Drosophila melanogaster: one gene and its partner. The protein of the gene in region 2 purifies or fractionates together with the protein of the main gene of each other region. This does not show direct contact. Each region holds a gene or a part of one and is shown on either strand. Other genes may lie near its edges.

What was found. Proteins that work in one complex are often made in the same cells at the same time.
Region 1: the proteins of RFeSP (region 2) and UQCR-Q fractionate together in Drosophila melanogaster (co-fractionation; one study listed by BioGRID). This does not show direct contact.

What each region holds. Positions count from the first base shown.
Region 1 is NT_037436.4:17,473,163-17,478,364, forward strand, and holds UQCR-Q (Ubiquinol-cytochrome c reductase ubiquinone-binding protein), read left to right. Parts: upstream 1-1,886; 5' UTR 1,887-1,973; intron 1,974-2,057; exon of another isoform or gene 2,058-2,162; coding exon of another isoform or gene 2,163-2,225; exon of another isoform or gene 2,226-2,247; 5' UTR 2,248-2,257; coding exon 2,258-2,432; intron 2,433-2,488; coding exon 2,489-2,583; 3' UTR 2,584-2,962; downstream 2,963-5,202. Other genes in the region: SecCl (secretory chloride channel), read left to right, coding at 1-73, 129-284, 530-909, 974-1,216; CG46525 (uncharacterized protein), read left to right, coding at 2,163-2,225; CG34250 (uncharacterized protein), read left to right, coding at 3,149-3,309, 3,407-3,464; CG13733 (uncharacterized protein), read right to left, coding at 4,787-5,202.
Region 2 is NT_033779.5:1,609,965-1,617,351, reverse strand, and holds RFeSP (rieske iron-sulfur protein), read left to right. Parts: upstream 1-3,191; 5' UTR 3,192-3,275; coding exon 3,276-3,369; intron 3,370-3,928; coding exon 3,929-4,308; intron 4,309-4,363; coding exon 4,364-4,582; 3' UTR 4,583-4,923; downstream 4,924-7,387. Other genes in the region: CG14352 (uncharacterized protein), read right to left, coding at 4,952-5,346, 5,484-5,844; Rab3GAP1 (RAB3 GTPase activating protein subunit 1), read left to right, coding at 6,281-7,387.

The DNA of each region.
Region 1 (5,202 bases), on a different chromosome or scaffold from region 2:
AATATGGCCCAGTTCTGGCACAACACTACGATTGTGCAGTCGGATGGGGACAATCTGCGGCATGGAGCTTTTGGTTAGCATACGAGGTGTTTGTTGGAGGAATATTTCTTAATACTGTTTCCTTGCAGCTGGTAACTATAGTTCGCTGAGCTTTACGGTCAATCTGAAGCGAGAAATTGGCTTCTATTTGCTCGACTATTACCTGCCCTCCATGATGATCGTGGCCATCTCTTGGGTGTCCTTCTGGCTTCAGGCGGACGCATCTCCTCCAAGGATTATGCTGGGTAATTACATTTAAATACTATTAACTTAAGCAACATTTCGTATTCGAAATCCATAATTAATTTGTTGACCTGCAACACAGTGCGTATGTGTTATATTCATTTAGAACATTGCGCATACGTCATGTTGAGTCATAGAATAAATGATTGCTTAAATTAAAGGAATAATTACAACATCTTAGAAAGAATTTAGTAACTCGAAATGATTATGATATGACTCACTTGTAACTAATATCCAATGCTCTTAGGAACCAGCACCATGTTGTCGTTCATCACGCTTTCCTCATCGCAGAGCAAGAACCTGCCCAAGGTGAGCTACATAAAGGTGTCGGAGGTGTGGTTCCTGGGCTGCACCTTCTTCATCTTCGGCAGCCTGGTGGAGTTTGCCTTTGTCAACACCATTTGGCGCCGCAAGGAGAACATTGAGCTGAAGAAGGTCAACAGCAAGTACATCATAAAATCCACATTGACACCACGACCGGCCCGCCGTCAAATTGGCGGAAGTTTGAGCAACGAGTCCAGGGCTAGATCGTGTTCCAGTTTGGACAACATTGTTTCCAGCACGGAGAGCGTGCGCAATGGCAATGGCACTGTGAATCAGGGCTTCAACAACTATTTGACAGTGCATGTAAGTACTCCAGATCGATGTCTTTCATGAGCTTTCTGTATTTTAACATTTCTCATGTCCTTAGCCCAATTTACCCATCATAAGAACGGAGTGCGCCGAGGCAGATACAGTGTCTATCTGCAGTGCGCGTACGAACAACGATCATATCGTGGATGTGGACAAGGATAAAAAGGACACGCCGCCCACCTTTACCACCATGACACCGCAGGAGATCGCCATGTGGATAGACCGGCGGTCGCGATTTCTTTTTCCGGCCATGTTCCTCGCCTTCAACGCTCTGTATTGGACCTTCGTCTATGTTTTGTAAGCGGATGTAGGCAGATGCCGCCGTTTATGTGAAATCTTGTCTATTTGCGTAGTCCTGATCGCGCAAATAATTGTTAAAGTGTAAGATGCATCATCTCATAGCTGTATAAATGTTAATCATTAATAAAGGTATAAACTATATCTCAACATTCGTATAAAAGGCTAATAATGGCAGGAAAAGTATTCTTGCTTGACAACTCATTTTAATCTAATGCATTTTGAATACAATAAAATTATTTATATGATATTTTACATATATTGAGATGAATGTGCCATCTTTAGTGGGCAAGTTTGAATACTTTGTATGCCTAATCACAGAAAATGAAGTTAAAAAGATAAGTAGCCCTCGATTTTACAATTCCATGTGTCTATTCTGTCTATTAATTTGAATAAATATAATCTTTTCGTTCACGAAATTTAAGTTTTTAAGCCGCTCACATATTTTATTACGGCAAAGGTAAGCAATTATGTTTTACATTATTTTATTGTTATATTTTAATAAGAATCCACTAATAGTTTAAAGATCCGCTATCCACACAAATTAGGTTCAAGTCCACGCTGAAAGTCTACAAAGTTACACATTCTGGTGGTGGCCTGCACTTAGCTTCTGTCCAAGACATCAATCTTAAAAAGCGGCACTTTTAGGACATTTTTCAAAAATAAAGCCTAACTGCTTGGTATGTTCAAGCGGCCCGTCCACGGTCACACTGGTTGAGACGAGTCGAGAGGAAATTGCAGCGTAAAAGTCGAATTTCAAGGTAAAAATTTGGCATCATAATCGGTACAATGGCAGGTGCTGGCTCTAAAAATATGCACAATTATGGGCTGCCAAAAGTGCAGAGATCGCGCCCAGTGTTAGACGTACTCGGCCGCCTTCATCCGCGGAGCAGTGCGAAAATTACATAACCTCCGGGTGCAGCAAATATAGGAGCACCACCTAGGCCATAATGTTTATAATAACGATCTGTGTCTTCATACAAATCCTGGTGCACTTCCTCTGCGGTTGCTAATCAAAGCTTTCCCCATCCGCAGCCCCACAACCATGCGTCTATCCTCGATCCTGAATGGCCAGCATTTTGGCAACTTGGCCAAGGTGCACGGCATCGTCACCTACAAGCTGTCGCCCTTCGAGCAGCGCGCCTTCGCTGGAGCGATCAGCAAGGGACTGCCCAACATGGTGCGTCGCTTCCGCTCCAACGTCTTCATCGTTACTCCCCGTAAGTAAATCGCTCAGGATTCCCGTCGAATCGTATTCTAATACCCAATTTTTCAGCCTTCATCGTGGGATACCTGATCTACGATCTGACCGAACGCAAGCACACCGCCCTGCTGCGCAAGAACCCCGCTGACTACGCGAACGACGAATAAGCGTCCCAACTAGCAGATAGTTATGTTAAACTAATTAATAAAACTAAACCCACAGTTCAAGAGAGTTGTGTGTTTCGGTTGCTGGAAGGCTAAACACCAAAGGCTTTGTACTCATACGTTACACATGGGATAATTTTATGTTCTATTTTATCAGTTTTATTGCTCTGTTTGCTAAACAATTCTAGAGAGAATTTGTTTTTCTGGATGAGCAGCTGCATCAGCTGTTCCCCAGTCTTGGTTTGAGTCCAAGCTATCTCGCCCTGCAATGTCTCAAAATAAAATAACAAAAAATTCATATGATGAGAATTTCAAAGAAAAAACACGACATGGAGGCAATATATTACGTTTTAATAATAAAATAAAAATTTTACTTGTTTTTAATATTCGGTAACGGTCTTAGCATTGATAGTCACCCGCTAGAGTTGCAGAGAATCAATCATCGAAAGTCACCCGAAACAATCGATGAGTGAGAAAAGTAAATAGCCCCACCTCTAGCCACCGCACAGCTGTTTGCAAGCAAAATATTGGCGTTCTAATTGGTTATTGATCCGATATTAGTGCATTAATGGACTGCTGCGGTAACGAAGTGCGCAGCGAAAGTATCCACAACATGCTACAGGCCCTGGTGGACTCAAAGGTGGTCAACGTGCAGCTTTTGTCGATTGCCGTGGGCATTTTCTTCGTGGTCATGCTGCTGAAAAACAATTTTCGCAGCTTTTCTGTCACGTAGATGGATCCAGTTTAGTGTTTAATATATCTCATAATGTAATGTACGCTAAGGATTAATAATAACTACCACAAGCCACCTTGCATCTTGTTTCAGTTCTATGGTTTTTGGAGCACTCCTCGAGGCAGTGACGTCACGTACATTATATGTGTAATATTTTGGGTGCTAGAACGTACTCGTGCTTTTTTCGGTCTCAGGGTCATCGTGTTATTTCGTAGGTGTTTGCACAACAACACGCCCAACCCCAAAAATATAATTGTTTTCGAAGGCCGGGTGAACTGGTTTGACTGCCCCCGAGACTTCCACGGATCGTGCAAAAAAAAAGAAGAAAAAAATAGAGCCCAGAATTTGTTAATTTCATCATCAGGCGACTGTGATTCTTGGCAAGCTGTCTTGCGATAAGATAGGTTATTCGAATACTCGAAGTAAGTCCTACTTGGAACAGGCATTCTCATCCAAAAACTGTTGAACTTTTGCCCCAATTGCCGGAGTAGAAGCCATATCCAATCACACTCAATTGCTATCCACAAACGATTCCAATTGACCGGCGATTGATTGCCCAATGTCTGCACGCACTTCCTGGTGCAGCATTAGAATTCAATAGACGCCCGACTTCAGCTGGCTCCATTCTGCAATCCCGTACTGACTCATTGCCCGGCACTTTCAGAATTTATGCAATACTGCGGTACGTGCTCTTATGCTAAAATATTGCATTAGAACACCCAGCGAACGTGACTTGATTGCAGGGCTAGAAATAGCAGCACTACCTTTAAGCCCTCGGATAAGCCACTGAGACAAGTCTACCTATTCTTCTGATTAGTGTTGCTTATACGAACATGAAGGATCCCATAAATATTCTTAAACATCAACTGATAGTCCTGCAACTGTCTAATCCTTCATATAGCCTGAAAATCTACCTAACTTCACAGCTTACTAATATAAACAAAAAAGTTACATCTTTAGTAGTTTATTATTAGTTTATAATAATCAGAGAACATATGCATTTCTTAGAAATTTCCGTGAATAAATGACCATTATTACAAGCACAACTTACGCATTAAACAATAATAATTGATTGATTAATACATATTCATATGTATTAATTACATCATCGGATCATTCAAACTTTCCCAACAAATGCAGTTAAGCTATTGCTTACCACACAAAATAAATCAAAATAAAGCCATCCATTAAGCCGGATCATTAACCCGATTCCATACTGCTGAATGGATAATCCAGCAGCTTGTCAATGAACTTGTAAATCGGGAGTTCCAGGAACTCCGACGCCCGTCGAAAACGAAGTGCTGACTGAAGTTCCGTTTGGTTAGTTTAATCATTTACTGTTCATAAGAGATCTATATATGTATGTACATAACAATTTTTACAGAGATATTCGGTTACAGAAGAAATTTTGTAAAAAGCTTATCTAAAAACCATAAATTTGAATATCCATCAGATAATGGGTACGAAATCAGATCATCCCTCGACAGTTGACTGTTGCTGGTTACTTAACTTATTTTTCAGCGCAGAGGAGAGGCAGTCCAAGTTATGGGATCGAATTTTTGAAGACCTGGGATTCGCCTCAAAACTTGGTGGCTTATCAGAGCCCGCCGAGCTGGAATCTTCCTTATCGCCTTCGCCAAATTTCCGTTTCTTGCGATGCTTTATTTGATCACTCGGCTTGGGCATTGGTAGCTGTTCGGAAGGGATCGATCTGACATCAGCTTTATCGTCATGGTTGTTGTGAATCTTCTGATGGCGCGTTTTTTTAACTTTCTTCTTCTGGAGACTTGCCATGATACTTATCATTTCCTCCTGCTGGGCTTCGTACCTGGAGATGATGGCGTTCCGGCGCTCCAGCTTGGCGGTGAGGAAACCGACTTGGTTCTTGA
Region 2 (7,387 bases):
AGGCAGGCAGGACACCAGAACAGGACACTGCAATCGAGGGTCGAGCAAAACGCCGAGGGAGCCGCCTGCCCGCCCAAGGAAAATGACAAAATAATGTAATTTGGGCCCGTAGATTTATGCGTGCTGCGCCTTCGCAAGAGGAACGGCGTCCTCCGTCGGTTGGGGAAAACGCAACGTAGTCGTTTCCTTTTTATTCCCCTGCCTTTCCTCCAGGATGCTTCCTGCTGCGCGTGCCACACGACTTTGCCCGCTGCTCCTCGCGTTTCCTTGTTTTTTTTTGTTCATTTAAGCCGCTTGGTCGAATTTAGGGCAGGTTTCACTCGCGCTTAAACCCACAATAAAAACGTATCCTGCCTTCGGAACTTTGGTCTTTCTACTTAGCCAGCGGCAGCGCGAGAAGTGTTGACAAACTTTCAAGCCGAGAAGAAGATAAAAAGGATATAGATGGGACTGGCCATATGGGCAGGGATCGGAAGTGGATACGGATATAAGCTTATAGCGTTAAATTAATTCAAAGAAATCGGTTTAAAATTATTACTAATGAACTCCTCCTATAAATGCTATACCATTTATAAAAATTTAACTAAAAACATAGGCAATAATCTATTGGGCAAATACCAATGCCATTTAAATATGAAAATACCTTTCCATCTACCAAGAAAGGTGATGGATTGCTCAAAATATCCGATGAAGGATCATTACCCCCACGCCAGAGAGCAATTTCCTTCGGCCAATAATAAAATATGAAAACAAAGCACTGGCCATTGTCATGGTCACCTAATCCGACTGGCCAAAAATGGGCGACTTGAGCCTCTTCTTTTGTCCGAGAAACGGAAGCCGTAGGCTCGAAAGTAATCATTTCAAATGCAAAACCAGGCCGGCGAGGATGCGGGCAAGGAAGTCGGCAAGATGGGCCCATAAATGACCGCCAGCTGTGCCAAATTCTCGGATCCAAGCACCGCTGCACATGCGGCAGTCCTCCGCAATTTCCAGAGCTCCTGGCGGCTCCTTCGCCTCGCTGATGCTGCACAGATGATTCTGTTCATTTAATTTTCGTTTTTGTAAATGGTTAAAGTCAGCGCAGGGAAGGGGTATGGCATGGCTGGATAGCAGTATAGCAGGATATCAGGATAGCAGTGGGCGTGGCGGCGCCTCCGCATCTGTCAGTCAGCCAGGGAACCTCAGAAACTTTTGCCTGCCACGCACAATTTTCCACTTTCAACTTTTCCAAGGGGTGGCGACCCACTCTGGGTGGGCTCAGCTTTATGCTTGGCTGATGTTGCGATAAGCAGGCCATGTCGTCGCCTACACGGCTAAAAGTATTTGAAAATAAACAATATATGACACACACCATTCATAATTCCCAAATAGGGTATAGCTTAAAAGTTAATAATAACTAAGCTAAACTTTAGGAAATGTAAATATCTCAATTATAAAGCTAAACAATACTTTTTCGAGTGTATTTCGGCTCTTGCTACTGCTGTGCTGATGTTGTTGCTGCCGCAGCCGCAACGCTGCACACGCCGCACAGAAATGGTTGAAAAGGGGGTGGAGTGTGCGGCAAGAAGCGTGGCAGGGAGTGGTAAGGGGGGTAAGGGGGGGCTGCCCTGGGGCAGGGTTGAAACTTTGTTGTTGCTACTGCTGCTGTTGTAGTTGGCGCCAGTTTCCCATGTAAAAGTTGCTGAAAAGTGTAACGCAGTCGAAGCTTGACAAGAGTTAAGTCTGAGTGGGGATGCGGTCGAGTTTTGAAGTTGGAGGCGTTGTGGTGGCTGGAAAATTCGGTGGGTGGATGCGCAAAATCCAGGGAAAGGGCAGATGCCATTGCCACGTCGCCTACGCGGCATAGTTTCAACTTTTCAGGCCTCTACACTGTCAGAAATTGATATGTCAAATATTGGAACATAACAAGTGGTTACTGTTTGTGTCCTAGATATTAAAATGCATAATAAATAAATAAATCTCATTTCCGCACAAAAAAACGTCTGTTATTTTGTGTAAATGTAGAGTATCCCCTTGTTCATATCCCAACTACATTATGAAGTTTGTTTTTGGCCAAATTTTACGCACTTTTCCGTAGGAACCCATTTTGTATGTGTGCGTGTTTTGGGCCAAGTACATAGAGGCGCCGTTATGTGCGCAGATTTTCCTCCTCCGGCTGGGAAATAGATGAACACATCGCAGCGGAGCGAGGAGTGGAGCACTTTCGGGCCCACTTTCACTTGCCACCTAGCCAGTGAAAGGAGGAGGGGAGTGGGTGGCAGCAAAGTTTCGACATCAAAAAGAACTACTTTCGATAATCACAGGACTGGCGCCAGAGGAATTACATTTCAGCCGGCTGCGGGAGAGTTTTCCCCGCTGCCACGGCCGCTTTTTTGGTTTTAAAGTTTGGCCAAATTTCGGGCGGCAAACTTTTATGCGCATAACAAATTCCCCTACATCGGCTGTTTTTTATGCAGTTTTTATTGCCATTTTATGCGTTGGATGAGATCAGCCGAGGCATATCTCCAATTCAGGAGCTACGCTTATTAATTAAGCTGAGAGAAACTACCCCGAAGAAAATAGGCAACATCCAGCAAAGTCCAATCAATGACATCATAATGATGCTGCCCGGGGGAAAATGGAAAAGTGCAGTGGAAAAACTGGATAGTGAAAGTCCGGTGGTTGGACCTCGTCTTTTGTTCTCCACTCGGTGGTGCGTTGACCAACCGGTTTGCCATGGAAACCCCTTTTCATCCGGGCTAAATCTATGCCACTGCAGTTTCCAATTGAAAAGAAAGGTAGTTTTCACTTGAATGAAAAGGTCGAAGGGTGGAAACTGAGCCTCCTTTTCACCTTTCGAAGGAAAACGAAAGGGGATGAAGGATTGAACGGCAAGGTGAAACAAATGCAATTTAATTCGACGCAGGATTATCATTTCAACATGAAATGCATATCAATTTAAATTAAAGTAAAAGCTTTTATGCACTGCGGGGTGGTTTAACGAGCTACAATATCATTTGTTCCAAAAATTATTTGAAATTCTATTCACCTATTTAAAAAACCGTTACTGGGCTGTAATAGCGGCCAGCTCCTGACAGTGAGCAATCGTAGTGGCAACTCTGAGAATGCAAATAGCTGGCAGCACTATACACTAATATATACTAGTATATTGTGGTATTTTTTGCAGGTTACCTGGTATTTCTCACCCACTTGAGTGCGGTCACACTGGTTCTCAGACGAAAACGACAAACGTCGAAATTTTCGTGATCATTTAATTTGATAGGGAAACATACAAAATGATGAACGCCGTGTCGCGTGCTTACGTCAGAGGCGGAGCCCAGGTCCTCTCCACGGGATTGAAGGCGAGCGGCGTGGCCGTCAACTCGATGGGTAAGGCTCTGCGAGGCGAATTCATCGAGCTGCCAGCTGAAAACACAGCCATTACATAATGAATGGATCGGGAAATAGGCGGAAAAAGTTGAATAAAAGCTTGGAAATGCCACCAGGACGTGATTTGCACTCGGCTTTAAGGCGATTTGTCAAATTTCCTTACGTAATTTCAACATAACCTCGTACAATAACAACAATCACTGGCTCACAAGCACACCTGCAATTTACATCGGATCTGTGGGATATACTCAATCGATTTCTGCCAAACGTGGGATTTACTACCTCTGGGACCAGGAATATCATCATGCGAAGTTTGGCACCTCTGTCTGCAAGGGACGCCAAGTTATGCCAAGTTGGCCCAAGATGCCCTGTGTCGGCTATAAGAAATATACCTTCAGCCTTGACAACCCCAAAACAATGTTGTTTACACTCTTCACTGCCCACCACACAAAAAATTTATGATTATATCAGCAACACTGCTCTGCAAACAAGCACAAGGATCTATAGAACCTCTGCACTTCGATCAATGGATAATTAATGATTCCCTCCTTCCTTTCAGCCAATCGCCAGGCACACACCGACCTGCAGGTGCCAGACTTCTCGGCATACCGCCGGGAGTCCGTGAAGGACAGTCGTCGTCGCAACGACACCGCCGAGGAGCGCAAGGCCTTCTCCTACTTGATGGTCGGCGCCGGAGCCGTGGGCGGTGCCTATGCGGCCAAGGGCCTGGTTAACACCTTCATCGGATCGATGAGCGCCTCCGCCGAAGTGCTGGCCATGGCCAAGATCGAGATCAAGCTGTCCGACATCCCGGAGGGCAAGTCGGTTACTTTCAAGTGGCGCGGAAAGCCCCTGTTCATCCGCCACCGCACGGCCGCGGAAATCGAGACCGAGCGAAATGTGCCCACATCCACGCTGCGCGATCCGGAGGCTGATGATGTAGGTACCGTGGAGTGGGTCGATTCGCTAATGCTGTTACCCATTTCCTCTTTAGCAACGTGTGATCAAGCCCGAGTGGCTGGTGGTCATCGGAGTGTGCACGCATCTGGGCTGTGTGCCCATCGCGAACGCCGGCGACTGGGGTGGCTACTACTGCCCCTGCCACGGCTCCCACTACGACGCCTCCGGAAGGATCCGCAAGGGACCCGCGCCCCTCAACTTGGAGGTGCCCACCCACGAGTTCCCCAACGAGGGTCTTCTCGTGGTCGGCTAGAGGAGCTGTTATCGTTTAAGCCCCCAACTGCATAGTGAATGGATCGATGTAAATTAATAAATACAACCAAACAGAACGACCGAGCATAAACGAGCAATTCATTCGAACTGAGGAGGAATAAATGTGAAGGGCTTAAATCCAGCAGCCTAAATCCAGCTTACTTGTTAAAATGTAGACGAATCTTTAGAAGTTTGACAGACATTATTAAATCTTTTGAAGATGTAATTGTTTGCTTCTGGTTTCAAAAATCAAGGAGTGTACATGAGTTTCTTTCGATAATCTTTTGTTTAACTAGGACTATAGTAATTACTGAAGAGCACTGACATTATGAAGACAAGAATAAATTAACTTATCCTAGCTAGCAATTCCTTAGGATGAAGCCTTGCTTTGCGCGACTTTGCGTCGTTTTTCGAGTATTTCCGCTTCGAGAAGTTCGTTTTTCAGGCGCATATTGCGCAGCTCCACCTTTCGCTGCTCCAGCTCGTATTTCTGCTTCTCCATCTCAAGCTTGTGCTTCTCGGCTGCCCGGGCGTTTTCGCATCGATAGTACTCCTGTTGCAGCCTGATCAGAACGACTTTTTCATCCTTCAGGGTATTCGTGGCATCCTCTTCTGAGCTCACATCGACTGACTCTTCATTTACATTCAGAGCTGAGTAGTTTGGTCTGTCAACTGAGTAGCTTGAGTTATTCGGCACGAGCTTGACTTCGGTAGAGGCGCTTCTGAGGCTTTTTCGGTTCAATTCCGATTCGAAATAGGTACTACCTGCAAGATGTTTTTAGAGTTTATTAGAGATAAAGCACTGAAATATTGCTGTAGAAGAACCTATCATGGTAAGACTATTAAGGTACATCTTGTCAACTACCACGTTCATGCTTTTGATCCTGCCATCCTTTACTCACTTTCTTCATTATCAGCAGCTGCAGCCAGCGAAGAAACTCCCGAAATGGACAAATTCTGCACCGAATCTGATGCATTGTCAGTCTTTGCCTCCTCGTCACTCAGTGTTCCGTTCTTTCGCATCATCCGCAGGTTGTTGGTGTACTTCTCTCGCAGAGCCTGCCAAGAACGCTCTATTCCGGTCTGAATGGCGAAGTCCGCCTCAATTTGCTTCCACGCCTCCGATTTCTTCCTCCAAATGGCCGGATCCTTCTGCTTGTTGCGGATCACGTCGCGATGCGCCAGGATCAGGTTCTCCAGGATCTCCTCCTCCTCAATGGTGAAGTTCTTCGCACGGGCCCTTACTCGCTTAGCCGCAAACATTGCGTATGTAATTAAATTTCCCTTCGCAAAGACAAAATTAAAAATTTGGTAAACAAAAAGCTGTTTGGTTGCGAGTCGTGAGTTGCCAGATCTTTTGATGTTAAGCAGGGATGGATGACAAGAAAAGTTTCAAATTCGGCGGTCCGTTTAGAAAAATACTAAGCTCCGTTAGTTCAAAATAATTAATGAATTACTGGAGCGCACTTGCCAACTTAAAAGACCAATTTCAAGCTACTTATATAAATAGGTGGTCCTTAAGTTATTTTTAAGTTTAAATAAATAACAAAAATTTGGTTCCTTTCCAACACTCTTTCCGATGGCAGCCCTAACCATCAGCTGATATGGCCGATCACAACGCTCTGGCAACGCTGTCCATTGTTGTCTACGATTTTAGTTTGTTGTCCTTTGTTTATTTACGCCTTTAAATTCCTGTAAAATGGCCGAAGAAATCGACGATAACGAGTTTTACCGGGAGAACTTCAGTGCGGATTCCGACTGGGAGGTGTTCAACGCCCAGCTGGGCGAAATCCTTCAAAAATGGGACGTATCGTCGGATTCCGAGACCAGAAATCTTAAATCCGAAGAAATCTTCAGCTGCAATTGGAAGGTGGAGCGGGAGAAGCTGGACATGTTGAGGAATGGCATTGAGGTGGAGTATCACCAGGCCATACTGGAGGATGAGGAACTCGTCAGAGCGGAGGCGAAGGAGATCACCTGCCTGCAACGCACCAGTTGCCACCATGATCTCATGTCCACTGGGAATAGCTTTGGTCCTCCAATAAGAAGCTCACAGGAGCTGCACATTCTGGCCAGGATCTACGGGCTAAGGAGGTTCATTGTCCTGCACCCCGTGAATCCAACTCTGAACTACATGAGGTCCACCTCGGAGTTCAACTTCTTCCTGAGCGCCGTCGCCGTTGTGTCTGCCGAAGTTCAGAGCTTAGTGCCCATCTTCGTCCAGATCTACGATCCCAAATGGAACTACTATACGGGCGTGGCCCTGGCTCCTGCTCTGAGAACCAATTTCAGGCTGATTGGACTGGAGAAAGCCCCGCCAGAATGTCGGTTTCTGATGGGTTTGCTTACCCTGTTCAGGGAAAAGGTGCCTACTTCCTACACCCAGGCGGCCATGATTTCAGTTTGCACCACCTACGCTCTGGACACCATGCGCATCCGCATGCCCATGTACGTGCCCTTCGACCACGGCCTCAGCTCCGAGGATATCGTAGTGGATGGAGAAGTTTCGCATCTGGAAGTACAGCAGTTCTGTGCCCTCCCACATGGCTACAAGCCCGAGTCCCGCACGGAAATCTACCTGGTCTACACCTGGCCAGAGCTGTCCGAGCACGTGGCCTTTGATAGCGAACAGAGGAGTGACTTTGTGCCCGCCAAAGCTCCGCTGGGAAAAATCTACCTATCAGTTGAGGCCTCTTCCTATCTCTCCTGCTGCCTAAGGGATTACCAATCGGTGGCCGAGGTTACCAGGTCCCTGGAGTCCTTTGTGGGCAGAAACTTCTCCGGCACTAGCAGCGGAGCTGAGGCC